Lonchura striata: one gene and its partners. The protein of the gene in region 1 interacts with the protein of each later gene in a pairwise test. Links are inferred from orthologs where the notes say so. Each region holds a gene or a part of one and is shown in the gene's direction. Other genes may lie near its edges. The genes, in order: CDC5L, YWHAQ, DISC1 and TRIO.

Region 1 (7,926 bases):
GCAAATGATGTGCGAGCACGAAGTCAGCCACTATTATATCAGTGTGCAGAGTGCAACTACGCTACTGGTATTTTAAGCAACCTGGAGCTCCACATCAGAACTCACACAGGTGAGAAGCCCTACAGCTGTCCTGTTTGTCAGAAGAAGTTCCGTACCTCCAGTCACCTCAAAAGGCACAGACTCACACATTTGAACTTGGGGCATTTCAAGTGCATGAGCTGTGACTACTCAACCAACAAATGGCTGTCCTTGAAGCAGCACCTGGCTTCGCACACCGGGGAGGGAACCTCCTCTCCTGGCTGCCTCTACGAGCACAAGGAGCTGCCTGTCAAGACATACAGGTGTGAGGAGTGTGGCTATTGCACAGCCCACAATGGGAACCTGAAGCTCCACCTGAGGATCCACACGGGGGAGAAGCCGTTCCAGTGTGGGCAGTGCTCCCTGGCTTTCCGCACCTCCAGCCACCTCAGGCGCCACTTCCTGACCCACCTCAGGCTGCACTGCAGGAGATGCAGGTATTCCACGGTGGATAAACACGCTTTCCAAAGGCACATAAAAACACACAAAAAGAAGTACAGGTGTGCAGAGTGTAATGTGGTGCTGCCCACCAAAAAACTGCTGGAGAAGCATAAGCAGCAGCACAAGGTTGGGATGTCAGGTTGAGAATTGGAAGTTGATGCTTGGTTTTGGCCAGGTTTGCATGGCCTGAATTTCTTCATGGTTTTATGTTCCTTTGCTGTGCCCAGAACAGTGGTTGGTAATGGATGCATCCAGCATTTTGGTCAAGAGAGTGAAACTTGGGGTACTGGTTTGCTGCAGGTGTTTGTGGGAACATCAATTCTAGCACAGGCTGTGCTGGAGATCTTGGAGACACTTTTTCATCCCTGAGTAACTGCTTCAGTAGAGGTCAGTTATTTTGGCCAGTGTTCATTTTTGTTTAAGGAGTTATTCTGCACCACTTATTTTCTTGTAAAAATTTAGTAAGAAAAACTCTTTACTAACTGAAAGAATGTGTAACGGGAGGGAAGGAAAAACATATTTTGTAGTAATAACTTTTCATGTGAAAACTATTGGTGTATCTGGAGGCTAAATGCTACCTCCCATCTGCTGAAAGTTGCCTCCTTTACTCCCAGGTGATTTTGCAATACTTGTAAGAGGAAAAAAATAGTATCTCTCCAAATTACAGAAACAAAATATGCATGTCCTCACTGGGTAATTGTGACATTAAAATGTTTTACATGTATCTGTATGTATAAGATGCTTATTAAGCTGTTGTCTGTAATTTTGATAATTTTTTGAGTAATCTGGCAGAAATGGTAATGTCCAGAAACATCTATTTTATGATACTGGGAATCTTTAAATCTTCAATTTTATTTGAATGTCCAATGTTAATCTAGTATGAAATGCCTTACCTTTTCTCAGGTTGGTAGTTACTGTGTTGGTTGTTATTGTTAAATTATATGCTTTTCAAATAACTTCAGTTAGCAGTTGCTGTTTAGTTTCATTAAAAACCTTAGCAGTATCTGAAACTAAAATTATTTTAAGAACTTTACTCTTAGTCTAAAATACCGTGTATAAGAGCTAGTACACTACACAGCAGGTGGTCCAGTGTATGGTGAACCCAGATGGATGCTGCTTCCAATTTATATTCAAATCTAGACAAATCTTTGTTTGTTTTGGAGTTACCCAGTGCTAGGAACTCTTGAGTGTGGTTAAGTGCTTTTATTAACAGTGTGTTATCCCCTTGTGTGAGGAAATAAAACAGCAAAGGCCTGGTGCAAACTGTCCCAATGCTACAGCTCAGTCCATGGAGCAGCAGAACAAACCTGTGGTTTAATTTAGAGAGAATGTAAGTATGGGATTCAGTGCCTTTTTTTTTTTTTTCTGCTTCTGGATGTGTGTCTTTCTGTAGAAATACAGATAATATCTTGTAGAGGCTTTCTGGTATCATAGGAGACAGGTTGGGAAGGGCTGTCCAGAGATGCAGTGGAGTTCCCTTCTTGTCAGATACTGAAAAGCCATCTGGATGTAATCCTGGACAGCCAGCTCTGGGTGTCCGGGATTACAGAATTCTGTAGTAGAATGTGTGTATATTTCCATGCATGTCTATACATACATTGATAAACTTAGGAATTGGCATAAAAACTCAAGCTTCACAACTTGTAAAGGTTGAAAATCTGGTGGTGTTATTGCATTATGGGGATCATTCCCCTTCAAAAGACACGTGTGCCCTTGAGAATTCTCAATCCCTTTTTATTCTTCTTTACTAGTATACATATGCATAGTTTCACCATAGGTTTATGTATATTCATTCTACTGATTTTGCATTACTCTTGCAGCTAGTTACCCTTGCAGCTTTTTTTTTAATCAGAAAGTACAGAAAGAACTCTTGGGTGAGTCTGCCTTGTCTGTTTCAAAGTTCGAGGAGCCTCTCTTATCTCTTCAGTTGGAAATTCGCATTCTTTCTCCTCAGCTGGGGCAGTTTTTACTAGTGCTGCAGAGCTACCAGACTAAACAGCATATTTTACTTATGCTAGCAAGCTACTAATAATTTCAAGTGGCACATTTTACCCGAATCCAAATGGATTTCTAGCATGTTAAATTTTTTCTCTATTTCACTTATATATTCTGAATTGCAAATATCTGTCAAGCATACTAAATATTGTAAATGAGAACAGCTACAGCATTCTTTCCAAATACATGAATAACCCTTGTAGCATAATATCTGTGAATCTTGCCTGTGTGTTAGGCTTCTCCTGTAGATTAATTTCCTGAATAGGGCATCTTCTAGGGTCTTGTCTTCCAGAACCCGTCCAGCCATTCTGCAATTTGGAAGGCAATTTTCCAATAATGAAACTCATGGACAGATTTATTTAAGGCCATATCAGCAAAGATGTTCAAGTGATCCAGTTCTTTGCAGCTTCAGTAAAGTCAGACAAGTATCTGTGCTTGAACCATGGTGGTTACAGATAAGTGATTTAGACCTTGGAGCCACCTAATCCAGTTGTGAGAAAGAATGTTATCCTGTATTAAGAAAGAAAAGCATTTCTAGGAAATCTTAATGATTACTCAAACTTGGAGATGTTTTTACATGTGTTACATTACAATTCTGATCATTTATTTGAAAAGAGCAGTACAAAGAGAAAACAAAAATACTGAAGGAATTGTAAGCCTCTATATCAGATGAGACTAGAAGGGCTAAATACGATTGAACACTGTTGAAAAGCATAGTGTACAATGATGATCAAAAGAGCCTGGTTTAGGTGGATAACTGCAGTAAATTTTTGAAAGAGTTTGTAAATCTGAGTTACTTCGTTTTAAGTAATAACAAGAAGGTATTTTTAGTTAAGAGATTGATCTTATAAAAGTTAATTATTCCCAGTCACTGCCTCTAATAAAAATAAGCACTTCAATGACTCCTGATGTTGCTTTCTGTTCCTTATGTGCTGCATTGGATTTTTGGGGTTTCAAAGGTATTCTCAGTCTGCTAAGTCAATGAAATTTACAGGTTGAGGCATATTCAGTTGCAAAGAAGACATGGGCTGTTGTTGGTAGTTTTTTTTGGTTTGGGTTTTTTTTTTTTTTTTTTTTGGTAGCTAGAAGTGTAGTATTTTTTATTCCTGCAGTTTAAACAAAAATCAAAGCCTTTCCTAAATCACAAGTTTTCTATTTAAACCAAAAAAGTTTCATAATTTGCTCCATTAATATATCCTGAATTTGGACAAAACAGGGAAATATAACAAGACAAATTGAGTAAAAGGCTGTCATTTTACCTGCTGTGCATCTGCTAATTAAATGAATACAAGTTAAACTGGAGGTGATGTAAATGAACAATAGTGAGTCAGATCTGTATGGTGTGGTGGTGCATCCTCCTGTTTGGGCCACACTGTGGTCTCAGAAATGCTCGTTAGGGCTTGACCTTGACAAGCTGAGCCGAGCTCCTCTTGAGCTTATCCAAAACACTGTCTGCTCCCAGGAACTTGTGTCAGCTGAAGTGCTCCGTGGGTTTTAAGAGCCTTTGGGAACTTATTTTTCTTATCCAAATAACCACCCAGGTGGAACAACGTTTTTGGTTTTGAACTTTCAGAGAAAGTTACCAATCTGAGTTGCAGCCAGGGTGGAAAATTGCTATGAGCAAAGTCAAGTCTGTTGTGACTCTCTAAGCAGTGGTATTTGAGAGCCTCTGAGCCCTCCAGACTGCAGCAGGCTGGGAGCAGCACCTCCCTCTGAGTGTGGCTTTCTCTGAGCCACACAGCTCCAGGCTGGAGATGCCTGGAGGGCCACAGCTGAGGGACAGTGACAGATCCTGAGCCGAGATCCCTACTCCTTGAGACTCAACCCTTCACCTGCTGAGAGTGACATGAGTACCTCACTATGAAAATTCCCCAAATTCAGGTATGTACCTTGTATACATTTCCTTTAGTGTGTATGTGAGTGTTAACATGCAAATGCACCATCAATGTTGCTCTCTTGTAGAATCATAGAATAGTTTTGCATCGCCACCTTAAAGATTATCTCATTCTACCCCTTGCCATGGGCATGGACAACTTCCACGATCCCAGGCTGCTCCAAGCCCTGTCCAACCTGGCCTTGAACACCACCAGGGATGGGGCAGCCACAGCTTCTCTGGGCAGCCTTTGCCAAGGCCTCACCACCCTCACAACCAAGAAGTTATTAATTTCAGGAAAAAGCATGGGTCTATTTCCTGAAATTAATAAAATACCTTGGGAACGCTGGGGAAATGTGATTTCCTTCCACTGTCCCTTTCCTCCCTCACCTGCGTCCCTTGACGAGGCAATTTGAAGAGTTTAATGACGGCCGGGCTCCTCCGCCGTGTGCTCCTCCGGCCGGCAGGGGGCGCTAGCGCGAAGGGCCGCCTCGGGCCACGCGGGGGCTGCGCATGCGCGGCGCGGCCGGACCCGCTTCCCTGGAGGAGTAGCGGCCTCACTTCCATTGCAAAATCCGCCAGTCCCGCTTCCCTGGGAAAGCCGCCCGACCCGCTCCCCGCTTTTCTGACAGAGCAGCTTTTTTGACAGCTGGCCTCGCTTCCCTCGCCCTCGGCACCCGCCGCCGCTGAGGGCGACCGTGCGCCGTCTCGGCCGGCCCCGCTGACGCCAGTGGCGCTTCCGCTCCCTCTCCATTCTCTCGCTCCAGGGGTCCGTCCCCGCCTCCATTCGCCGCCAAGATGCCGCGGATTATGATTAAAGGCGGCGTGTGGCGGAACACCGAGGTGAGACTCGGCGGGGTTCGAGCCCTCGTCCCCCTCAGGGCCGGGCAGGTGGGGGGGGGACCCTCGCTGGTGCGCAGGCGCGGGAGGGGCGGGTGTCGTGGTGCGCCTGCGCGGGGGCTCAGTGTTGGGGGTGCCGCGGTGGGGTCGGGGCTGTGCAGCGCTGTGCCCGGACATCAGCGGGTCTGGGCTCGGCAGGGGCCAGCGCAGGGAAGGGAACGGAGCACAGGGCTCACGAGGAACAGCTGAGGGAGCTGGACGGACTCAGCCTGCAGAAAAGGAGGCTCAGAGATGGATCTTCTGCCTCTCCACCACTCCCCGACAGGAGGGCGCAGCGGGATGGGGGTCAGGCTCTGCTCCCAGGCAACAGGACAAGAGGACATGGCCTCAAAGTGCACCAGGAGAGGTTTAGGTTGGACGTTAGGAAGAATTCTTCACAGGAAAGGGTGATTGAGTATTGGAATGAGCTGCCCAGGGAGCTGATGGAGTCACTGTCTCTGAAGGTTAAGTTCTTCCAGTTTAAGGAAAGACTGGATGTGGCACTGAGTGCTGTGGTCTCGTTGACATGGTGGTGATAAGATGTTGATTAAGCTCAGTGATCTGAGAGGCCTTTTCCAACCTAACCGATTCTGTGATCCCTGGCTCTCTGTTGGGCTGCATTCCCCAGTAACCTGTGCCTTGTTCCTGCTGCTTCAGTGGGCAAAGGTCACGAGTTCACATTGGTGCTGTTTTTCCCTCGGGCTGTTCACCAGATTGGGAAGCTCAGCAATGTGTGTGTTGTGTCCTTATGCCCCAGAGAACTGTTCCCACTGCTACTGGAGAGGAAGCAGGGGCTGTGCAGTGCTTGGAGATGTCCCGCTCGCAGGCTAGAGTGTGACTTGTGCTGCATAGGCACGTTCCTTGTGCTCTGTGGGAATGAAGCAGCAGGAATCTCTTGCCCTTAAAGATATTTAAAAATACGAAAATGGCAAAGGCAGAGTCATACAAGTTTTAGGATTGGAAAAAGCTTAAGAACACCAAGTGGCCACCATCAACCCAGCACCACCACCATGTACACCATTTAACCTGTCCTTAAATGCTACATCTACATGGGTTTTTAATCAGTTCCAGGAATGGTGACTCCAGTATTGCCCTGAGCAGCCTGTCACCATTTCCATGGGAAGAAAAAAAACATCCTAATAACTAATCTAAACCCCTGGTGCAGCTTCAGTCTGTTTCTTGTCAATGTGTGTGGGCTCTTCATCTGCAGCCCCAGGAATCCTGTGCACAGAAATTACTGTTCCAAAAAAGAACAATCCCCTCCAATTTTGCTGTCACAAGCTTTCAGAACCACAAGTGGTCATGAAAAAGAAATCAATAACATGGGAAATCAAGGATGTCAGTTTTATTAGATGCATGTTTAAAGCAAAAGGATGTACCTAGCACTGTAAAATACAGAATTCTCACTGCATAGTGTGAGCACCAGGCATGTACGTGGTTCCAGGAAGCAGTGAGGAAAAAGTAATAGAAGATAAAATGTGCTGTATGTGCTTTTAAACACCTGTGCTATATCAGTGATGTGCCAGGAAGCAGCTAAATTTGGGATCAGCAGAGGACAGGAAAATTCATATCTTCACCCCATTCTTCCATACTTGATACATTTTGGTGAGGAGTGGTGCATTAAATGGAATCACAGAATATCCTGGGTGGGAAGGGACCCACGAGGACCATCAAGTCTGGCTCCTGCACACAACATCCCCAGCAATCCCACCCTGTGCCTGAGAGCATTGTCCAAATGCTGCTTGAACTCTGCCAGGCTTAAGGCTGTGGCTACTGCCCTGAGGAGCTGTTTCAGTGGCCAAATAGATCCTCAGTTCACCAGGCTTTGTGTACCAGAGATAAAAGAGGTGTTGGATTTTTTTTTTAACATTTTGATTATACATACAGCATTAAAGACAGAGAAAGGGAAATCAGGTGATACCAAATCATTCATAAAATGACCCATTACATGCAAAAAAAGCCTGTTAATGTCACCAGTACAGCTCCTGTGTGCCATAGAGCACCAAGTAAGTTTAAAAAAAAAACACACAGGAGAGGATTTATTATTTATGTCAGAACAGTAGTCACATGAATTGTTGCCTGCAGCAGCTCAAGCCAGATCAAGAGCTGATCATAAGCGCACAGTTAAAGCTGTTGTTCTCTGGGTGGTGTCAGTGGAGATAGTGTGAGACTCACTGAACATTCACTGGGTACAGGAGAGGGACATCTGTGGTTGACAGGGCTGTAAGAACAGCTTTCATGTATTTAAAATACCACTTCCTCTGAATAAACCAGAAATAATGAACCCATCTATCAAGGAAGGGAGAGAAGGATTGATGGATGGATGGACCGAGAATTGGCACTTCTGGCTTGTGATCAAACTCAGTGCACATTTTGTTGTATATGAACAACCTGGCTCCCAAGCCGATCTATTCCATTTTTATTCCAATTGCATTAAAATATGAAAAATAGATAATTTTATGGTATTGTTTAAACAAGGCAGCCAGAGATGCCTGCCAATTCTACTTTTTTTTTCGTATTGTGATGTCTTACCAAACACTTCCTTACCTCTGTTGCTGTCCTTCAGTGAAGACATACAGAGCCTTTAAACACCAGTGCATTAGAGAGCATTGAAAATAATAATTTGGGAAATTCTGTTAGGTATATGAAGTTTGGAACAA
Region 2 (7,777 bases), about 10 Mb from region 1:
ACAGCAGTTACTGAAATGGTAGGAGGGAAGAGAGTGTCAGACAAAAGCTGAGACACTCCTATCAACCATGATCAGTAGCTGCCTCAGCACATCAGACTACAGCAACATTTACCTTGCAGCAGGTATCAATATTAATCAATACCATCCTTTACAAGCAATGACCAAACTGCTCCCAGCATGGAGATACACTTATCTTGAAGCCACTTAAACCAGAAAAATGGCACTCAGCAGCAAAACTGAGGTTCAGTACCACCCTCCCACACTGACAGTCATCATCCTAACCCAAGTACTCCTTGATTCCTCTCCTCCCAGCAGAAGAAAACTGTTTGCATAAAACAGCACCCAGCAATAGCTCCACATTCATCAACACCTTCAGAGGCTTGTTCTCTGGAGCAATTAGTTTACACCAGCAATGAGCAAGCCATGCAAGTATTTTCAAAAATTTAAGAAGTCCTGTGGCCTCCTCACAGCACAGAACAGACAGAATATGGAATGAGGCTAGTTTTTAAAGAGCTTGATCCCACTGACTCACATTTATTTGTCACTTAACTGAACTCTGATGATGCTTTAGCCTCTTACATGAATGGCTTTCTATTTTTAATGTAAGAGCACTCATGCTACGCTCTAGCACTTTTTAGATATGAGAAAAAAATACAAGGATAACAAGAGATCTTATCCTTTCATTCCTAAGTCCCCCAACCAAGTGCAAGATAAACAAATTTAAGTAAATTTAAGTTTTATCTAGAAGAGTCATGGCCACTGGTTCAGTTCCTCTCCAAAGGCTTAAATACACATCAGTCTATATGAACACACTTAAAATGTTTTTCATGTTTTAGCTAGAATGGTTTAGCTATTTCTCACAGAGAAAATCAGAGAGAATTCCAGTTTTGTCCAGGATGACACACTTTATTACAATTTGCTTATCAAAAAATTCCAACACCTGCAACCAAGTGGCACCTTTAAATTCTTCAAGAAGTTGGGCAAATGGAAGTTAAATCTTATGCTGGTTTCATGGAAAACTAACCAAACATGGAAAACATAAAGAAAAAACTCAATTTTAATACCCTCAGATGACATATTAAAATTTACCTGCAGAATTTCCTTAAAACTCCAGCTCTCATAAAGGACTACTAAATGTCTAGGCCCCCTAAGCAAGTCTTCTTCTGTCCCCCAAAGTTTTAGTAAAAGTTGGAACAAAGGAAGAGCAGAGGGTACAGATACAGAAAGAATGACAGCAGGAGAACAAGTGTACAGACAGGAGTTGAGCAGAAGACAGGAATCAGAAGGGGATGAGATGGGATGTAAATTAGGGGGCTGATAATAAGGAGAAGATTACAGGAAGAGTATGGGAGCAAAAGAGACCTTAACCACCAGAACACAGGGCCTTAATAAACATAAAATATGTTCTCTTGCCATTAAGTGAACAGACACGAGACTAATTGTACAGGATCTCCATCCCACTCAAGACAGGACACAAAATGAGTAAGTTTTTCTACTGTTACTCATGACAGGACTGTTTTGCATAGTTCAGGACCATGCTGCGTATCCAAAAGGCTCACTCACACTGTTGTTCAGTGGTATTCTAGGTAAATCCCGTGACAGAAGTCTGCTTTTGGGGGTTCTTTGCTTGTTTAGCTTCATTCACAGTGCTGTATGTTTGCTTTGTGAGATGCCACTTTGAGCTGTTGTGTACCTGTTGTACAGACAGCAGGAAGGAAGTTCCTGACTGTACCATCTCAACCTCCTTTGCTGTAGAGATGGAAAGCATTTGATTGGGGTTGTTTCTGCTGAGAAAAAGCAAGAAAAGTCTTATAGCAAATAACAGAGGCTCTAGAAAACTGTCTTCTAACTCTGTTGTAAAGTTCACATGTAAGTCTGAGGAATTTGCATTATATATATTCTTTATTTTTCTCCCACACCCCAGTTGAGTAATTTGTGGTGTGAGCTGCTAAGATGCTGAATGTGAGTAGGTGCATCTGAAGTCAGTGGGAGGTGGACTTTCTCTACATGCAAAGTAGCATAAAGCATCTACCACCCTGGAAATGAAAGTCTTTGATACGATATTTACCACCTGGGAAATTAAGCTTAGATTTCTTCATATAGGTAACCAGAAGTGTTCATATTTTTAATTTCCTGCACCCAAGACAGAATAAGGCCAGCCATTTCATAGTGGTGACAAGGGTAAAGTCCTTAATGGTCAGTAAGATTATAGCACTCCTGAAATGCTCTACAGGAAATTAGGTTTTTTAATTCAATAAAGGATAATGTTATGCAGTAAACTGTACATTAAAGTACACATGGACTAAGCATGTATAAGAATATGTAATAAGCAATAAAAGAAACACAAATTTGGAAAGCTTCTGGAGCTTACTCTCCTGCTATCCCAGGCAACTGCTTATGTGCAATCACATAAGCACTTTTATAAACTCATCAGACTCTGCTTTCTAAGCGAATGGGCTTCCTGCCCTCAGCACAGGGAAACTGTCTCATGGCCTCATTGCTCTGAAAATTCCAAATCTTCTAAGTCACAGTCTAAATTCATTACTGACCATTTTACACACATTTGTCTTCAATTTAAAAAACAATTCTACATCCATGCCATTTACTCTTTTGAGAAAATATAAAATCTCCTCTTCATTTTTCTAATCTAAACACAACATATCCTTCAAGTCCCTTCTCTGAAAAGCTCCCCAAAGGACAACATTCCTAATCAGCAATAGGATTCTTCTGGGGAAATAAGCTTATGGCTGTATGATTAAAATCTACATTGCTGGGCAATCTTATGGCATGTTAGCCCACAAGACCCAAGCCTGAAAAGCAAGGAGCACAGAGGGGGTTTGAAGCCAGACACACACAGGCCACACAGCTGCTATGCACACATACATCAGACTCTGCATCACACATGGAATTCAGTCTGCATCCATCACACTGCTCTGTGCAAACTGCTCTGCTTAGTACTTCCCAACTCTTGACTTAGTTCTGTATTTCTTAATGCACCCTCTCAATAGGTGGAAGAGAGACAGGAACTAAATGTTATGAGGGTAATTCTCAATATCTTCCCCTTTTCTTTGAGGTGAAGCAGTGAAGGAAGTAGCCTCAATCAGGTCAGTGTCTTTCCTCAAATAAAACACACTCACCTGTGCCTTAAAAGTGGAATGGTTAGTTGATAAAGACATGGTGTTAATAAAAAAGGTTTTGTTACACTATTGGTCAGCTTTGGTCTTTACTTCATGTAAATGAAGATAATTATAAGGGACTAATGTAATTGCAAACATATCCTACTAACAAGAATAAATGGGCATCCTAAAACTATAGCAAGTTGCCAAGAGGTAACTTCCGAGGGAGATCCAGAGTGGTTTCTCAGTTTCATTAAATTTGAAAATATTTTTATCATTAGTTCTATTTTTTTTTAATAAATCAATGTTTCCCAAACTCAAATGACAAAGAAAAGTGTCTTGTTCATAGTATAGCTCAAATTTCCATACACATAGTCCTAGTACTAGTCCAAACACATACCAAAAGCTTTATAAGTTGAGACAGTAACATCCTGGGATTGATTCAGAGAATTCCTCATCCCATCTGGATGTTGAAATTCCTCAGTATGACTATATTTGGTGATGCTGAAAAGAAAGGTGAGAAATGTCATCTCTTGACACACAGACCTGGTACTGCAGACATTGGAGGACCTGACCTCGCCTGAGCCCTGATTCACCAGATGCATTTGACCTGTTTTGTACGGCAATACCAACAACACAAACCCACCGTGTCCTTAGCACATCCTCTGAGGCTCAGTCAGCGTGAGTGCACACAAGTCATGCATCTACTCAGCCAACGTTCTGGACCTACATGTGGCCGTAGGTGCCTTACCTTTATCCAGACACGGGTGGGTAACATGCCACTACTGTATGTCATAGCACGGGCTGACCTCTAGAGAATTAAGGTGAAATCAAGAGGATGAAAACAAGCAAATATACTGAGAGCTTGTGGGAAATGCTATCTTCAGCCACGTGGGGCTGCGGGAACACGGACTCGGGAACACGAAGCCCCGCAGTGCCCGTCCTGGGCCCCGCCGGCCCGCGGCGCCCGGCGGCGGCGGCAGCGCCCGGACTCGGCCCGGCCCGCTCCGGACGGACGGACCGCACGGCCGCTCCCGGCCCTGCCGCGCCCGAGCCGCCGCGGGGCCGGCCGGGCAGGGCCGGGCTCGCCGCCCGCTCCTGCGGGAGCTGCCGCCGGCGCGGCGGGGAGCGGCGGCCCGAGGGCGCGGCCGCCCGCGGGCGGAACAACAGCCGCCGTGGTGCGGCCGCGGGCACCGCCTCGCCCCCCGCTCCCGCCCCGCCGCCGGCAGGGGCACCGCCCCGGCCGGGGCCCTCCCGCCGCCTCCCCCATCCCCGCTCCCTTCCCCTTCCCGGTCCCGGGTGCCGAGCGGGGGGAGCGGCGGCGGGGGGGGGCGAAGGGGGGTGTAGCGGCGTCACCATGGCGACAGTGACGTCACCCCACCCTGGATCTCATTGGAGGAAACCCCGTGGCCCCAGCCGCAGCCCACGGGCCCAGCCGAGCTCGCGCCCTGCCCGCGCTCGCCCCCGCGGCGGCGCGCTCCTCTCTGATTGGCCGGCGGCGCGCGGGGGGGCGGGGCCGGGCGCGCAGGCCGGGCCGCGATTGGCCGCGTGGGCGCGGGCCGCGCAGCGGGTTTGTGCGCGCGCCAACGCCCTTCAGCGCTGGCTCGGCCGAGACGGGAGCGGCTCTTTCTCTCCGCCACAGCCCCGAGCGCGGCACCGACCGGGTGCGGCCCGGCCCCACAGCCCGGCGGACCCAGGTGAGCGCGGGGTCGCGGCCGGCGTCGGGATGGGCCCCGCTCCGCTGCTTCCTCCCGCCGCGTCCTCCATTTTGTGATCGCGGCGTGGAGAGCTCGGCGGCCCCGGGGAGCGGGAGGTGCATCCAGCGCCGCCATTTCGCACCCGCCGCCGCTTCCTCTTCCCGCCCCGTCGCCACGGGGACTCCGCCGGCCGCCCCCGCGCCCCCCGCCGGCGCAGGAGATGCGGCTGCTGAGCCCGAGACCGCACCCGCCGCCGTGTACCGGGAGCCGCCGCGCTCCCCGCCGGCAGCGCGGGGCCCCCGCCGCGCCGGGGTCCGGATCGGCGGCCGCCGAGGCCGACAGGGAGGCCCGGGTCCACCGCGCCCCGCCGCGGGAAGGAGAAGCGCCCAGGGCCCCCTCGCCGGCCTCGCGGCCCCGGCCCCGCTCGCCCCCAGGGAGGCGGGTCCTGGAGGGGTTTAACCCCTGCTGTGTTCTCCGGCGCCGAGCTCGTCTTGCTGCTTTTATTATGTATTTGTTCCCGCCAGTCCTGGCATTCATGCCCGCCTGCCTCCGGTGCTCGCCCGCAGGACTGGTAGCACACGGAGGCAGGGATTTGGGCGAGGGCCCTAGGCGGGGTGGTAACCAGGAATCATTCCACGAGTTACGGGGCATATTAATATGCTCACGTAGGGCACGAAGGAAAAGCGGGATGATGACTTTTTTCTGATGGAAAAACAGCTGTTGCCACTGCTTGGGCGGCTGGCTGCCGTCCCTTGTATAGCACCGACCGAGTGCGACTTCTCCGCCTGGGTTTCTAGGTCGTGGTTTCCCGAGGGGTGGACCCTTGGGGCGCGTCCCCGTAGCCTTGCATGGAAAGGCAGGATGTTGCAGTCCGTCTGTCCAGGAGGAGCACCTGGAGATGGGGAAGGGACGGCAAGGCTCAAAGTAATTCTCGTTTTTGCTGGGTTGCAGTGGGTGCTGCAGGATCGTGTTTGGTGGTGTTTATCCTGGCATCATGGTTGCTGTCTTCTTTCTGTCAGGTTTTGAGGTGCATTCTCGTCCTGATAGTGTGACATCTCCAGCTTCTTCTGCTACTGCACTGCTCTTGTCCCACTGCCAGCCACCATGGATAAGACCGAGTTGATCCAGAAAGCCAAGCTGGCTGAGCAAGCCGAGCGCTACGATGACATGGCCACCTGCATGAAGGCAGTAACGGAGCAAGGTGCCGAGCTGTCCAACGAGGAGCGCAACCTGCTCTCCGTGGCCTACAAGAACGTGGTGGGGGGGCGGCGCTCGGCCTGGAGGGTCATCTCCAGCATCGAGCAGAAGACAGACACCAGTGACAAGAAGATGCAGCTTATCAAGGACTATCGGGAGAAGGTGGAATCTGAGCTCAGGTCCATCTGCACCACGGTGCTGGTAAGTCAGGACTTTGTTTTTTCTTATATTTTGTTTAAGGTAAAAAAATACAGTGTTTAAGTGTGCTGCTGTACTGGAGGAAGCATTGGGAACTTGCTTGGGGCATATCATGCAGTGTTGTGCTGGGGTAGGTGAGGTCAGTACCGTAACTTCTGCAACCCTTACGTGGGTCACTGCAATGAGGAGGATCAGCTGCACTATGCTGTTGACGCTATATTTGTAGAGGTATTTGAGATAGTTAATTTTGAGTGTCTATGAGGTACGTTTTTGGGTGGAGAGATCCATATGGAGTATTTCACCAGGTAATTGCAGAGATACAGCCTCTGTGCTGTGGTTAGTAAACATATTCATAAGATAAACTGAAAATGTGGAAAGCCCTTTATTTAGATCAGCTAATAACTTGCTACAAACATTGAAGCCATGTATGCATTTTGTTTACTTCCTGATGAAGAGAAATACTCTAAAGGGGTCTTCAAGAGACATTTTGATGAATGCTTTAACATAAATTTAACTTTTCAAACTTAGACATCTATATTGAAGGGGAGAAAGTGACATGTAGAAATTGTCTTTGTTAGATGCAAGCTGACTTCTCAGGGTAGCTTTGAGATGGTTTTGCAGTAATTACGGAGCAATGTAAAACTAAGGTGTAAAGACCAGAATGACATCCTAAGCATGCATCAAACACAGAAGTACATTTCTGTGGAAGCAGCAGAATTCCAGGTGCTGTTGGTAGGAAAACTGTAGTGCACTGCAGTGGGAGCTCATGAGATGTGTGTCTGCAGTGTGGAGGCTGCTGGACCCAGTTTTACATGACCAGGGAATGATATCTGAAAAAAACTGCACGTGCATAATGCAATAGTAATTCTGTGGGCAGATCATCTTCAGTGGTTGATTTGCTCCTCTTAGTTACCTTTTTCTGGTGTCTAGTATTGCTAATGTGAGACCAGGAGGAAGCAAGTCTATAAGGAAATAAACAATTTTGAGGTAAACTTATTCTAGATTTGTTTAGGAGATGTGAATTTAAAGGTGACTGGTTTGGAAGTAACTGATTTTCTTCTTGATTAAGTGTTTTGGCTCACATACAAGGGAATGCTTCTTTGGACTGTGCTGAAAATACCTATATGCTTCCTTGTATGCTGCCATCTAGGTTTGTTCTTTTTTAATCAAAGTGAGTTGTCTTTCTTTGAAAATAATTTTCATATTTATTAGCTTTATGAATCAGTTAATTCCTTAACACATTTGAGCCCATGCCTTCCGCAAGAACAAAATTGTTTCAAAAGGTGTATTGAAATTGTAAGACTTTCACCTTTGTGAAAGTAATACTTCTGTAGGATTCCTACTTCCTCTGACAAGAGTTTCACTGGACGCCTGTGTTGAAGTGCCAGCATTTGTGTCACTCTTCTTTCTCTACTCAGTGCCCCACTTCAGAACTAACTTCTTGGGACCTCCATATAAAGCTCTCACTTCAGATTTCTTAATCTCCCTTTGTCCTTTTACCAAATTGAGTGCCTTGGAGAAGGTGATGTATAAAATCTCATACTGGTTGTACCATCTTGACAAGGAACT
Region 3 (7,841 bases), about 65 Mb from region 1:
CTCACTATGACATTTGGATCAGACTTTGGGTTGTGGTTATAATTAGGTTAGGGTACAATTAAAACAGCATTAAAACCCAAGGATACTATTCTCCCCTACTAGCATTTGCTTCAGAAGGGTACCTGCACCTTTTTCTCCAGTTATACTTAAAGTTCTCAGTAAAACTATCCTCCATCCCCCTGCAACTCCTTTCCACTGATGTGGCAATTGAATGATCATGGTTGTCGAAAAGCAGTTCCTTTCTGGATAAAGGAACAGAATGTCATGTTCTGTGTACACACTCACACATATTCACACCTACTCCTGCTTGTCGTCTGAGGTAATGAATTACAGTCTGCTGAGTATTCTATTGTGGTGGGACTTTTTTGTTACATATACACGCTGATGTGAGTACACACGAGATAAGGCAAGCTCACCTGAAGCAGAAGTGGTGAGGTTTGGGATAAACTTTAAGTCTCCCAGTAGATTCAGAACAAATGCAAATAACTCACTAGCAGGGTTTTTTTTTCCTGAGTACATCTCATGCCCTGTTTCTTTTAAATATTTGTTTTGAGACTATGTACCTTTTGGTAGCTTTGTGATGACTAGTGTCTCTTGACCCCCTCCTGTTCACCATATAAGCATCTGAAACAAGTCTGCTGATGATGCTGAGTTACTTGAAGCAGCATGAACAAGAGCTGGATGCAAAGAACTTGGACCTCGTGAGGTTGCCTTGTGGGCAATCAAACCACAGATGAAATTCACTGTGTGAATTGAATCAGCACCTACCAGGAAGAAAAATTCCTAGCCTCTCATATAAGATGAAAAGCTCTGAAATTACCACCGCCACTGAGAAGGAAACTGTGGCACTAATTACATATCAGAAAACATCAGTTAAGTGTGTGGCTGCACTCAATCAAATGTTACAGACCATTTGTGAAGGAACACAGAACAGAACTGGAAACATGAAGATGCCACTGCAGAAATCCATAGCAAACCTTACTTAGTCCCTTCACCCCAGAAAGCAGAAACAGAAAAAAATTATAGAGGGACTGTGTACTAGATCAGTCTGACTAGTTTAGCACTGCACAGTTTGGAAAATGGACTACATTATGAGTTAACACAGGAAATCATCGGAGGCACAGATGCTTTGGGAAAAAATATTTTTTCAAGCACAAAAATCCAGGAGCTCACAACGGCAGGGAGCCATAGCCAGGCTCAGAGTAAGAGCTGGTGCCTTGGGCAGCCCCTGACTCGTGGATGCTCTGTGGGTCAAAAGCTGAAGCAGGCTCAAGGTGGAGCTGGGCAAACCCTTGGAGAGCCTGGGAACCACAGCAGGCTACTGACTCAACAAACCTCACTGAGCTGAGGAACCCCCTGAGCACACATTGATCAGAGGAGGGTGGCACAGTCCAAAGGGGAAGTGCTGTGGGTGCTGTCTTGTTCCTGCTCTTCCTTGTTCCTGCTCTTGCTGAGAGAGCTGCCCTGGCTTTGAGCTGGGAGCAAGGCTGTGCTAGATGGGCCCTTTGTCTGCACCCACAGAGCTGCCTTTTACAACCAGTTTCTTTCTGAATGATGGGAACCAGCACTGACATCACCTGAATCAGATGCACTGCAGCAAGGCTGAAGGATGAAGAAGGATGGGTGGCTATTTTTGGCATGTAAGGCACAGCTGCTTGTTGTCTTCTCTCACAAGTCAGGAAGGGCACAGACTGGAGCAAGAGGTCAAAACTCTCTTAGCATGTCCTGTATTTCTTAGTTAATGGACTCAAACTAGAGAAAATCAGTATTATGACAGTTGTTATATAAACCCGGTTTTTTTAGCAGCTTTTCTGAATGTTGTGAAAACTTCCTTGTGTAGTTAACTTACAATTGCATTTCCTGCATCTGAGAAGGAAGAAGCATTCTTGAAGGCTAGGATGGATGGAGGCCGTCTGGAAAACATTGATTTCATGTACATGATTAATATGGTGGATATGATGATCTGTGAGTGAAGCAGGTACCACTTTAGCAAAGTTAATAAAAGCTGTAGTCAGTGGGTACTCATAAGCTTGTATAAAGCTCATAATTAAGAATAACAATAGAAATAAAACTGTCAGTAGAGAAATACCAGGGATAGCAAAAGATGATATATGTGTTAACTAGGGAGGAGAAGATACACTGGAAATGGTGGAGGACTAAACTTACCTAAATTACAAAACAGGAAAGGGGATTTTAGCAGAAATGCCTGTTATTACAATGATATGTAACAAGGAATTCTTTACCACTTCCCATGGGTGGGCAGGCAGGCATTCAGTCATCCCCAGGAAACCAAGGCTACATCATGCATAACAGTGAATTTGGAAGAAAAATGCCATAAATTTGAATGTACTCTCTTCCTCCTCCTTCCCCCAACTGTTATTGTTGGGCATGACATCATGTGGACATATGGTTTGGAATATCCCTTGGGTTGTTGTCAGGGTGTCCCAGCTGTGTCCCTTCCCATCTTCTTGTATACCCCAGCCTGCTCACTGGCAGGGCAGTTCAAGAAGCAGTGTAAGCACTGCTCAGCTAAAACATCCCTGATTCTCGTCATTGCCTCTGTACCAACAAAACCCCATACATATATATATATAAAAGTTGGTACCTCTCAACAAAATGAAAAAGCTCTGTGACATAAATTATCTGGAGCCCTACAAAAACAGTGAAAATACATACATAATATTCACAATATCACACAATATTCTGAGTTGGAAGGGACCTACAAGGGTCATCAAGTCCAGCTTCTGGCCCTGCACAGGACAGTCCCAAGAATCACATCATGTGCCTGAGAGTGTTGTCCAAATGCTTCTTGAACTCTGTCATGCTGATGCTGTGACCACTTCCCTGGGGAGTCTGTTCCGGTGCCCAAAGACCCTCTTGGTGAAGAATTTTTTCCTAATATTCAGCCTAAACCTCCCCTGACACAACTTCAGGCCATTCCCTCATGTCCTGTCACTGTCACCACAGAGAAGAGATCAGTGCCTGTTCCTCCTCTTCCCCTCACAAGGGAGCTGTAGCTGCAGTGAGGTCTCCCTTCAGCCTCCTTTTCTCCAGGCTGAACAAAGTGTCCTCAGCCACTCCTCATATGTCTTCCCCTCAAGGACCTTCATCATCGTTGTTGCTCTCCTCTGGACACTCTCTAAGCATTTTATATCATTGTTTTATTGTAGTGCCCAGCACTCACACAAGACTGCTGGCTCATGTTCAACTTGTCATCAACCAGGACCTCCAGGTCCCTTTCCATGGCATTGCCTTCCAGCACCTAATTCCCCAGTCTGTCCATACATCCAGGGTTGCTCCATCCCAGGTGTGGAGTACAGCACTTTCCCTGGTTGAACTTCATATGGTTGGTGATTGCCCGGCCCTCTGATTTGTCACGGTCTCTCTGCAGGGCTTTCCAGCCTTCAAGGGAGTTGACAGCTCCTCCCAATTTTGGATCATCTGCAAACTTTTTTAGCATCCCTTTAAGTCCTGCTTGCAAGATGTTTATGGCTACTTCAAGCCAATGAATGCAATAATAACTGCACACATGCCTTGCTAAATTCAGTATCTGACATGCAAAGCAGTGCCAGAGTAGGGCTCACAGTCACATGATGGCTCTGAGACCAAGCAATGCCTAGTATGCCTAAACCTGAAAATAAATTCTTTTCCAAGAGTATGTTTGGTATAGAGTATATTTGGTACATATATTTGTTGTTATGCTGGGACCTGTGAGATGGAAGCCATATATTTTTATGTGTAGCATAGGTTGTGTCTTTCACTTGGAGTGAATAACCCAAGGTATGGGTGAGGGGCTGATGGAAAGAAACTCCATCTGAGCTCATGGAGAAGGACCTGAAGGTCCTGGTGGACAACAAGCTGTTCGTGAGACATGCCCACACCCACATGGACAAGAAGACTGATGGAATCCTGGGATGCATTAGGAAGAATATTGCCAGCAGGTCAAGGGAGGGTATCCTGCCCCTCTAATGAGCCCTGGGGAGGCGCATCTGGAGTGTTGTGTCCAGTTCTGGGCTCCTCAGTACAAGAAAAACATGAAGCTCCTGGAGCATATCAGTGGAGGGATACAGAGATGAGTAAGGGACTGGAGCATCTCCCCTATGATGCTCCAGAGAGAGGCTGAGAGAGGCTGAGGGAGCTGAACCTGTTCAGCCTCAAGAGAGATAACAGAGAGGGGACAATTCATCCATGTTTTTAAGTATCTGAAGGGAGGGTGCCAAGAGGACAGAGCCAGGTTCTTCTCGGTGGTGCCGAGTGATAGGACAAGAAGCAATGGGCCGAAACCAAAGCACAGGAAATTCCACTTGAGTATCAGGAAGAACTACTTCACTCTGCGGGCACAGGAACAGATTGTGCGAAGACGTTGTGAAGTCTCCCTCACTGGGATACTCAAGAACCATCTGGACGCAATTCTGTGCCATGTTCTCTACGATGACCCTGCTTGAGCAGGGAGCCTGGACCGCTGTGGTCAGAATCTGACCGATTCTGTGATTCCCCGTTTCCTCTCCCGCCCATCTTTGCCCTGCGGGAACAGAGCCTGCACAGCCTGAGACCGCTGCGCGGGCGGGAGCCTGGAGGACCGGGCTCCCTGGGGCTGTGCGTGCGACCAGCCGCGCCGCACCGCACCGCGCCGCGCCGCCCTCCGGAGCCGGAGCCGGTCCCGCCCGCCGCCCTCTCCTTCCCCGGGGCGGCGGAGCTGCCTCGAGCCCGCCCCCGGCGGGGAGTGGCCGGGCCGGGGCCGCTTTCCGCCGGCTGCGGGCCGGGCGGGATGTGGCGGCCGCAGCCCGGGCCGGGCGGTACCGACAGGCGGCGCCGCGGCGGCGGCGGGGACGCGGCGGGCGCAGGTGAGCGGGGCCGGGCCCCGCGGGAGGCGGGAGGCGGCGGGGTCCGGCCGCCGAGCTCCGCAGGAGCCCCGGACGCGCGGGGCCGTGGGTGCCCCTGCCGGGGCCGGGCCGGCAGCGCTGCTCCCCGCTGCAGGGACCGCGCGGCTCGGCTGGATGCTGCCCCCGGGCTGGGAGCAGCAGCAGCAGCTCTGGGGAGTCGCCCTCGTGTTGGGTATGGGGAAAATGTACTGAAAATGTACTTTTTTTTTTTTTTTTTTAATCCTTCTCGGTAAAAAAACAAAAACAACAACCCGGATCTTTCATTTCACAGTCTGAAAGTTTTAGAATTTCTTTAGTTTTTTTTTTTGTTTTTTTTTTTTTAATCTTTTAAGCCCCTGGTGGTGTTGGCTTTATTTCACAGTTAATGCAGTCTAAGAGAGGGTAAAATAAAGGGTCTTGTGACTTTGAGATAACGTAGCTATCGTTTTTTAACTCAAAAAATAAGATGCTTTGATTTCACTTCAGCCCGCAGTTATAGTGATAGGAAGACATCGATGGTTTATTTGCTATGGTTTATTTGTTTAATTTTTTTAAATAACCAACTACAAAGTGGGAAGTAATGGTGCTCCTCGAAAAGTCACCCACGTTATGTCTACAGTCTTGGCTTAAGGAAGAAAAAGAAAACTTCCTTCTCAGGGGACACTCTGTGTGTATATGCTTTTATAAAGAAATGAAGTTTACAAGACCATCACCTATAAGGTGGATGAACTGCTCTCCTTTTTTCTTAGAGCAGCAGCAATCAGCTGGTCAAAGCTAGGGCTGCCCTCCTTATCAACAGTGGTGCTGGCAAAAGGCTGGAGCCCCTGGGAAATTCTGGAAAAAAAAACACTTCACCTTTCTCAGGACAAGTGGGAAAGAAAGGTGTATTTCTCACTAGGTATGTCTGCTGCCTTTTGGGTTATTTGGGGTACGAGGTTCTCCCAGCTCCACGAGTCCACCAAGACTTTTCTGCAAACACTACAGTCATCCTTGCCATCAGTTTAATACAAAATGGCTCATTCCTGTTTTGGTAATCCACATTAATCTTTGTGTACACGTGCTTGAGTAACTTCTTGCTAAGCTTTTGAATTAATTATGCTAGCATTTTAAAGTTCTGCAGAGAAGGTTTTATAATAAAGGTTTTCATAAAATATGTTGCAGAATGTATAGCAGCAAGTGCTGCTGCCAATTAGAGGTAATGGTGGTTTTCAGAGAAATTAGTGAAGTCCCCTAGGATGCATTATCTTTTGTTTTATCCTTTTGTATTGGTTCATTTACTTGCTAATTTGCTATTGGCCTTAGAGTAGCTCCTAAAAACGGGAGGAGTTCTACTTATTAAAAAATTTCTTGGTGTTTAAATACTAAAGTCCCTTTAATGATGTTGTATGTTTCCCCATCTCATTGCTGAAGGTGAAATTGTTGTGGTTCACTCTGGGAAGGCATTGACAGTTTTCCAGTTGAAGCCCTATTCATAGGGCTTCTAGGCCCTTAGGAAACTGCAAAGTAGGGGTGTTTAACAGAAATATTTGTTTTAAAAGAAAAAAAAATGGCTGAGGTTAGAGATTTGTGATTACTTAAAATATTGGGATCATGGGAAATGAATGTACAAGAACCACCAAATGTTTATGTGCAATGTTTAGTATACTTGAGGTTACGACCATATCTAATATGTCTTTTTTTTCCTTCCCAGTATTTGATACTATCAGAATTATCAATTTTTTTTATAGCTCTCTTTGAGATTGGGCACCAAAAATGGCACATTCTCATGCACAACATTGAAGGTTATAGTGCAGCAGCACTCTAAAAAACAGTCAGAGGCAGGTATTGTATTGCCACTGGCTTCCTCCCTCTTTAAATTAAGATAAATCATCCTTTGTTCTCTTCAGTAAAGTGAAGTCAAAACTTTGGGCCTAAGCTGCTTCTGGTGGAATTGTAGTGGGTTTGTGTAAGAAAAGGGGATTTATTAGCACCAGGATAAATTAATTGTGATGAACAGGTGGACAGAAAGCACTGCAAACAATGTTTTGTACTGACAAAAGCGAAAACCCTAAAGGTTAATTCTGACTTTGTTCACAAATTAGGCACACTTGGTTAGGCTTATTTTGCTCGCCGTAGCTTGGGCCTTTGACAGCTACTGAACCAGCTGACCTTTCAAGCGCGATTTACTCGAGTGTGTGGCACCTCACGAGCGCTCCTCGGGAGTTATGGTTTTTTCTTTTCCCATTTTAACCTTGTCTTTCCTTGAGCGAACCCCTCTTTCTAACTGAGCGGAGACAGGCTGTGACCTTTCCTGCTTTTGGCCATATTGTGTATTAATGATTCCTGCGGAAAGTGGTTTTCTTACCTCCTTTGGAGTATTGGCCCCCAAGGTGAAGGGGAAGGGACCTGCGGAGTTGCCATAGTGATTTCCAAGTTCATCCTTAGTATCTTGTGTCTCTTTCCGGAAAACGGCCCTTTCATGCCGTGTCGCTTAGATTAGGATTGAACCCAGGGTATGTTGTAATACTGTTCAATATTCTTGGAGGAAAACTGCTGCAAAACCCTTATGTATTCGGAATGAATGTGCCCTTTGTAAACCAGCAGTCACACGAGGAAAAACTTGGCCCTCTGGCACTGAACAAAGGCTGCTGTTCCTATTTTAAGCATGGTAGTATCCTTTCTTGAAGGTGTTTCCTTAATTCTGTGTAGTGTTAACTATTTAACACACCATGTAATTTTTTTCTTCTCCTTTACCATACAGGTGTGGATTCCATTAAAAGCTTACCTGCAAAATGCTTTCAGGGAGAAATATCAAGCCTGCAAGCTACTGATGCTGAGAAAGCTAGGATCCACTATGGATATACTTTGTTTGCAAAACATGAGTTTTCTGTATGGAAATTGAATTAGCTATTGACATGGAGTTACCTCCCTGTTTATTGATGCTGAGAATGTGAAGTGGCTTAATGAGCAATCTGAAGTCTGCAGGCAGAGGGGTGAGAT
Region 4 (7,495 bases), on another chromosome or scaffold:
AGTTCCAATTCCCTCCCATGGGCAGGGACACCTTCCATTAGACCACGTTGTTCAGAGCTCCACCAAGCTGACCCTAAACACTTCCAGGGATGGAGTATCAATGACTTCCATGGCCAGCCTGTTCCAGTGTCTCACCATCCTTACAGTAAAGAATTCCTTCCTCATATCTAATCTAAATCTATTCTTGTTGAAGTTTGAAACCACTCCCCTTTGTCCTGTCACTCTGCTCCTGTAAAAAGTGTCTCTCCATCTTTCTTATGGGCTTCTTTCAGGTGTTGGAAGGCCCCATTTAGGTTATGTGAAGCCTTTTCTTTCCCAGGCTGAACAAACACAACTCTCTCAGCCTTTTCTCATAGGAGAGGTGCTCCACCCCTCTAATAATCATTGTATCCCTCCTCTATACTCACTCTGACAGGCCATGTCCTTCTTATGCTGGGACGCCAGATCTGGATACAGCACTCCAGGTGGGTCTCAGCAGAGCAGAACAGAGCACAGGGGCAGAATCCCCTCCCTGGCCCTGCTGCCCATGCTGCTTTGCATGCAGCCCAGGACACAGTTGAATTTCTGGGCTGTGAGAGCACATTGATGGGTCATGTCCAGCCTCTCCAGCACTCCCAGGTCCTTCTGGGCAGGGTTGCTCTGGATCTGTTCATCCCCAGCCTGGGTTGATACTGAACAGCAGCACCTTGTACTTTGTCTTGCTAAACTTAATGAGATTACCATGGCTCACTTCTCAAACTTGTACATGCCAGGTTGTACCAGGGAGAGTATGGACAAAATATTTTAAATTAGACTGACAATACTTTACATAGGTGATAGGTATATCATCTGCTAAAAAAATATATTTTTGGAGAAAAATAGAAAAAATTACGAATAAACAAAGTTCCAAAAGCTGCCAGGACTCATACAATGAAATGAGAACTTAATTTTATAGGATAAGGAAGTGGAACACAAACTTTATACTGTTCAAGACAACCTTTTAAAAAGACTTAGATGCTTCTGTGGAAAAGAGGGAAATAATAACAATAACGGTTGGAAAATGCCTCAGTGCCTGTCTACAGATGAAGAGATACACCATGTGCTCTGAGAACAATTTGAAATTGATGAATGTTGCTATAATGCAAACACCATTTAGATCAGAAACCAGACAGCAACTCCAAGGTGGTGCACATTAATAACTCGATTGCTTTCCTTAACTGCTGCAAATTTGAAATAAGTCTTATCATCCTAAAAGCACAGCAGCACCGGATATGGCCTTCTCTATTACTTGTTGTGTTTATAACTTGTTTTATAGGTTTGAATCCCCCAAAACCCTGCTGCAGAAAAGTAAAGGTTGCAAGAAACAGTTCTTAGAGGCTGGCGGGGCTGAAGTCCATATGCATTTTCCCTTTGAGTGTTTTCCATGTAGAAGGCTTGTCCCCACACTACCCTCTATGTTCTGTTTTTGTTTACAAAATGAATAGTGAAGCTTGTAAAACAGCTACAAGAAGATAACTCCACTGTAAAAATCTAGTTGTTGGCTGGGTTTTGTAGGCGTGCATTTTTGATTTTTTTTTTCACAGTTGAAATATCTTTTTCTAAGCAGGAAGACAATTACGATTGACAGTCCCAGGTCAATACCATCTCCTGTCTCCTAGCTTGTCCAAACTAGTGAGTTTCTAGTTTACTTCTCTGAAGCTTGTAAATATAAGTGATTTTTAAATCAAGCTTGTCCTGCTTTCATTAATGTCTTATAGAAATAGGGGAATCTCTGTTCTTTGTTTTCTTGATCAAATGGGCAGCAAATACTGCAGGAAAAGAACTCAAGAAATATCAAGTCTGCAAATTCTTTTAGGGATGAAACATGAAGTGACATGTGACACTTCTCAGCCTGGAAACACAAGGCTAGGCTCTGGGCAAGCTCTTCCCGTCACAAGACACCTCTTTGACGGGAATAAAGTTTTTGTGTTTGGCATTCTGATTTCGGAGTGACCATTCAAGCACAGTTAGACACAACACAAGTAAAAATAAAGGGCATTAAAATGAAACAACACTTTTCTTTGGGCATTTATTGTATTGGGGTATAAATTTTTTTGAATATGCTTACATAAAATTAAATGCTTTATATACACACATAAAATAGAGAAATTAAGCACAATACTTGAACACCATTAATATTTAAAACTCCTAGTATACAATCTAAAACTCTAACTTGAATCTGTGCCTTAACACTATTGGTATTTCACAGGTCACATTACCGCTAAAGTATGTTTTACACCATGAATATTTTTTCCATTCCTGCATTTACCATTGCAATTGGTGAAAAAACACTTGCAGGCTGACAAAAACTGAGATAAGCAATGCAGGAATTGAGGAGAATATGGCTATTTCCTAATGACAGGCTTTCAAATTCACACAAATTTCCAATGTGGGACATTCTCCATATAGACAATTCATATCTAGTTTGTTTTTGTTTGAAGCCTAAAATGGCGAAGAAGAACCAAACTAAGAAACTTAATTTCCTGATGTCAAAATATTAAATCTGGTATTTGATACTTAAGGTGCATAACTGTTAATTAAATCCTTGTTTTATTAGAGTGTTAAGTAACTTTGTCATTTTCCTATATTTGTCTCTTTCCTTTAACTTACCCTTCAATAAATATTGCATCCTGAACATTAGCATGTATGTATTACTATAATCTTATGAATCATGCAAAGGATATGAGCTATGAGCATTTTTTGGCTCTTGAAGGATTTTTCTGTGAGGGCCACCTTCGTTGTTGATTACAACTTCTTCTCAATCACTTTCACAGTGATGAAAGGCTCCTGTAGTGGGGAACATGGCTCAGGGCACCCATGTACTAAGAAAAAAGCAAACCCAGCATCTCTTGCAATTCAGCAGATGGAGGGGACAAAGGAAGGGAAAAACTTGAGTCACACATCCTTCAGAAGTGTTCAAATTAACCTTGCCTTTTTAGTGCACACTTAGAATTTGTACAGTGTGCTAGAAGAGCAACTAACTGGAAATGGAAAGTACACAACCCGTCCAGACTGAGGTTCCTTCCAAGGGAAGGACATGAAGCTGTGCCAGGGGAGGTTTAGGTTGGGCATTCGTAAATGATTTTTCTCCCAGAGGCTGTTTGGGCACTGGAACAGGCTCCCCAGGGAGGTGTTCATAACCCACAGCCTGCTGGAGTTGAAGAAGTGTTTGGACAATGTTCTCAGGCACATGTGGAGTTCTCGGGGGGTGATCCTGTGCAGGATCATAGGATGATCCTTGCAACACACTTCCAACTCAGGATATTCTATGAACCACATTTCTCTTGAACTTACCTTCCTTTTAATACTTACCAAAGGTTCGCAGTTTAATTCCTGAAGCAGTACATCTGCATTTCAAGTGTGCTATCGATTTACCATTTGCCATAAGCATTTGAGACGCGTAACTCGAATTCATCAATCTGTGCAACTGCTATGATTCCTGCTCTGACACCCTCTCCTCAACCTTATCTGGACACGAACTTATACTTCCTGAACATGAAAAGCAGGATGGTGGTGAGGCACATCATAACCTCCCTATCATGAGCTGTTTGCTTATTTGCTATTAATTGAACCGGTCCACATCATAAAATCTTTTGACGTGTCCCCGTGGTAACAGAAGTAAAAAATATCGACAATACAGACAGCAATGTAACGGAAACCTTTTAAAGGCACCTTTTTAAAGAAATCTACGCATCCCTTTTTCTCTGTGTTTTCCAGAGGTAAGCCAGGCTCCTTCCGACCGCGGGCAGGGGGTCTCTCCCCGAGGACGGCTCCTCGGAGGCCCCGGGAGCCCAGGGAGGGCAGGCAGCAGCATGGGACACGCGCCGCTTCCCACGCTCCCGCCGCTCGCCCGTGGCCCCGGGCCAGACGGAATGCATTTGCTTAGGTTCCTTTTGGTTAATTTTTTTTTTTTTTTTTTTTTTTGGACTTCCACTCCGACCTTCGCGTACCGGCGAGCTGGCAGTAGGGCGAAGGTTAGCCGGAAGCACCTAAAAAAAAACCCCAACCAAACAAAAAGAGACCCCAAACCCGAAGGACAAACGCAGAAACCCGAGCGGGCCGCGGCGCCGCCGGGCAGCCCCGGGCGCTGCGGCCCAGCCGCGGGGCGCGGGCCCGGCGGGAGCGTGACGGACTGCGCCGCCCGGCCCCGCCCCATCCCGACCGGTGCCGGACGCAGCCGGAGACTCCCGAGCTCCCCCCGCTCCCTGCTCCACCGCCCTTGTTCCTCGGGCGGGGACTCGCTTCCTTTCCCGACTCCCCCTTCCCACCCTCTTCCTCCACCCAGTCAAAATGGAGGACGGCGGTTGCTGCGGTCTCTGGCTTCGCGGTGGCTAGGGCAGGTGCTGCTCCTCTGGATCACTACTCGCTCCTTTAAAAAAAAAAAAAAAAAAAAAAGAAAAGAAAAGAGAAAAGGGAAAAAAAAAAAAAGGTTGGAAACGTTCCTTTTTTTTTTTTTTTTCTCCGCCCACTGGCTGCTCTGTGCGCGGACCGCTGGCCCTTCCCATGCCGTCGTCGTCGTCGTCGCTCTCCTCCTCCTTCTTCTCCTCCTCCTCCTCCTCCTCCTCCCGCGATTGTCTGCGCTCCGGCTGCCGCCCGGACTCCCTGCATGCACACGCCGCCTCCTAGGTGGCTGCGGGGGGTGGGCGCTCCCGGAGCTGCCATTCCGCACATACCTTCATATGTCCCTGCGCTCGCTGCGGCCGCCCGCCGCCGCCCCGCATTGCTCGCCCGATCCGGCTGCCGCCCTGACGGCCGCTCCCGCCCGGAGGTGAAGCCGGGATCTGCGGAGGGGGCGGCGGGGTCGGTGGCGGGTCTCGCCCGGTAAAACCACCGCCGCCGGCACACGCAGCAGCAGCAGCAGCCATGAGCAGTGCCGCTACCGCCACCTCCGCCGCCAGCACGGCCGGCAGCGGCGCGGGGGAAGGGGCCGAGGAGGCGGCCAAGGACTCAGCGGACATCGCGGCGTTCTTCCGATCCGGTGAGTGCGGTCCTGTCCTGGGGGAACAGGGAAGTAGGGCCAGCGGCTGGAAGTAGAGGCGAAAGGTGGCCCTGGGGAGGCGACGTCTTTCCCCCGGAGCCGGGAAAGGAGGACAGGGCAGCCGGCTTTGTCAGGTGGCCTCGGGGAAGGCTCGTCTGCTTCTCGCCGCCGGGGCCGCCTCGGCACTGCCCGTCTGTTCCTTGGGGAGGACGCAGGGAAGAGAGCCGAGCACCCCCCGTCCCGTGCCGAGGACAGTGGGGCTTAGGTACAGCAACTTGCGGGCGGGATGCCACCCTCGCCGGCGGAACCGGGGCGTGAAAACGGAGGCGGCGGCGGTGCGGCCCGGCCGGGAGGGTGCGGGGCTGCTGCCGCCCCGGGGCGGTGTCGCCGGTGACAGGTGCGATTCTGCCTCCCGTGCCGGCCCGGTAGCGGGCGCGTCACCGGGGCCGGGCGGCACCACCCAGCGCCAGGGACCCGAGTCCCCCGAAAATGTCCCGCTGGGGGTTGCGGGGCGGGAGGCGGGTAGAGGAGCTGCTCCGATCCGGGAAGTCCATGGTGTCGGAGGGGCGGAAAGGGTGCGCGGGGCCGCAGGGCTGCGGGGAGCCGGTTGTGCCAGCCGGACCCCCCGGGGAGGCCGGCGAGCAAGCAAGGATGACACCGCTATAAAAGGCAGCGCTCCTCCGGTGGTGTGCTGCTGGGTGGCGGCGCAGGGCAGGGATGGGAGAAGCGGCACGGAAAGTGGATGTTCTAAGGAGAACCAAAAGAGGCAGACAAAAAGCGAAGCTCGTGTTAAGGGGTGTCGCTCCCTCGGCTGAGGCGGGGAGGCAGCGGCTCTCGGGCGCTGTCGGGCTGGGAAGCCGGGCTCGGCGCGGAGGATCGGGAGGGGAAGGGTGGGAGCCTGTTGACAGGCTGCCGGGATGAAAAAAAATGGAGGCTGCCTTTTCCCTCGGTGTTTACTCTCGGCACGCAACCGGGCGGGAAGGACGGCTGCGCCCGCCGCCGAGACCCTGTCCCCCGGGGCATAGCGGCGGGGAAGGTAGCACTGCCCGGGCCGCACGGACCGCCGGTCGGCGGGGACGGAGCCCTGCCGGCAGCCTGGGCGGCGGCGGCTACGGAGCCTCCCCCCGTGCCTGCTGCTCCCCCCGAGCGGCGGCGGCTCCTCCCCTCCGTCCGCTCCTCCGGCGGCTCCGCGCCCCCAGGGCAGCCCCCGGCCATCGCTCCGGGCGGAGCAGCCGGGCTGGGCTGGGCATTTGCTCTTTTTGGGTGCCTAAAAAGGAGCGGCGAGCAAGGGAAATGCGGACTCACCGCGGGAAAGATGAGGGGGTTGGCCGATTTCGTGTATAAAAAATAATTATGGCAGTAGTAATAATAGTAGGAAAATCTGTGTTCACTGGGTTTTTAAGGAAAGTCCGCGAGGGAAGTGGGGAGCGGCGTAATCAGTGCTACTTGCGTTCGGTGTGTTTGATTTCATGAGGGTGAAGGAGGAAGTGTGATTTCTAGCAGGCATCCTTGAAGCAGGGCTGGAAGCTGCATTTATGTGGATAGAGGGTCCAACAGGGGGCTGTGTCCCCTCTGGAGGGCTTGATGCTCCCGAGGCAACCTGTTTAACACGACAAGCCATGGAGTGTGAAACTCCTTGTCAGGATGCTGGCCTTGGTGGGTTTTATAATGGAAAAAGGACTGAGCTTTATCGTTCCCAGGAAGAAATCCCGATGAAAGCAAAATGACAAATTAAAACAGTAGGCTTACACACAGTAGTCTGCCTAGTGTAGTTACAAATGGGTGCTTGTGTAGTAATCTTGCAGTTTTGGAAGACCCTGCCAGCTGTATTAATAATCAACTTCCGCATTTATGTGTGGGTTGAGGGATGCTACAGCTAGTAAGCTCACAAGTGGTGCAGTGATCACTTCTGATGCTGATAACTTCTGATAACAGAGAAGTTGCATTGAGCTCAGTCTTGAAACATCTGAAAATCTTAAAGTAGAAGGACATGCTTATCAAAAAACTCTTAGATCATATTTGACAACTGGCATTCTCATTTCCATATTTATGTGTGAAGGTTATCTTGTCCAGCCTGGGCTCTAACATACACTGGAAAATGTTCTGGCATCTCCTATGTGTGTTTGGCATTGAGAAGAGCTCTTTGAATTCTGCCTCTGTGCATGATCCACTCTTCTATAAGGAGAGGGTCTATTAAGAGATCTCTGGTGCTTCCCTTTGTTTGAACAACAGGCACTTTTTTTTTTTTTTTCCAGTGGAACACAAAGGGCGCAGAGATCAATGAGCAAGGAAAAAACTTTAGCGCATTTAGGAGCAGACAAAATATTTTTCTCTTTACAGAATTTACAATGACAAATGTTTCTTTTTTCCTGTCACTTGCAGAGAATATTAGCAAAGCTCTAGCTGTTATTTAAAAGAGAAAATGAGTAAAAATATTGCAGTGTTTTCCAGGAGGGAAAAGAAAAAAAAAAAAACAACAACAAAAAGCCTGCCTAAACA

The links.
Region 2: the proteins of CDC5L (region 1) and YWHAQ interact in a two-hybrid assay, tested with the Homo sapiens proteins (2 studies listed by BioGRID and IntAct). The link is inferred for Lonchura striata from reciprocal best matches to the Homo sapiens genes CDC5L and YWHAQ.
Region 3: the proteins of CDC5L (region 1) and DISC1 interact in a two-hybrid assay, tested with the Homo sapiens proteins (2 studies listed by BioGRID and IntAct). The link is inferred for Lonchura striata from reciprocal best matches to the Homo sapiens genes CDC5L and DISC1.
Region 4: the proteins of CDC5L (region 1) and TRIO interact in a two-hybrid assay, tested with the Homo sapiens proteins (2 studies listed by BioGRID and IntAct). The link is inferred for Lonchura striata from reciprocal best matches to the Homo sapiens genes CDC5L and TRIO.

The regions. Positions count from the first base shown.
Region 1 is NC_134605.1:109,086,201-109,094,126, reverse strand, and holds the start of CDC5L (cell division cycle 5-like protein), read left to right. Parts: upstream 1-4,892; 5' UTR 4,893-5,185; coding exon 5,186-5,230; intron 5,231-7,926. Other genes in the region: uncharacterized protein LOC110468941, read left to right, coding at 1-663.
Region 2 is NC_134605.1:98,813,279-98,821,055, reverse strand, and holds the start of YWHAQ (14-3-3 protein theta), read left to right. Parts: upstream 1-4,668; 5' UTR 4,669-4,813; intron 4,814-5,832; 5' UTR 5,833-5,917; coding exon 5,918-6,211; intron 6,212-7,777. UniProt on the Homo sapiens protein: Adapter protein implicated in the regulation of a large spectrum of both general and specialized signaling pathways. Binds to a large number of partners, usually by recognition of a phosphoserine or phosphothreonine motif.
Region 3 is NC_134605.1:43,738,050-43,745,890, forward strand, and holds the start of DISC1 (disrupted in schizophrenia 1 protein), read left to right. Parts: upstream 1-4,741; 5' UTR 4,742-4,768; coding exon 4,769-4,844; intron 4,845-5,677; exon of another isoform or gene 5,678-5,760; intron 5,761-7,841. UniProt on the Homo sapiens protein: Involved in the regulation of multiple aspects of embryonic and adult neurogenesis. Required for neural progenitor proliferation in the ventrical/subventrical zone during embryonic brain development and in the adult dentate gyrus of the hippocampus.
Region 4 is NC_134603.1:73,726,317-73,733,811, forward strand, and holds the start of TRIO (triple functional domain protein), read left to right. Parts: upstream 1-4,473; 5' UTR 4,474-4,881; coding exon 4,882-4,996; intron 4,997-7,495. UniProt on the Homo sapiens protein: Guanine nucleotide exchange factor (GEF) for RHOA and RAC1 GTPases. Involved in coordinating actin remodeling, which is necessary for cell migration and growth. Plays a key role in the regulation of neurite outgrowth and lamellipodia formation.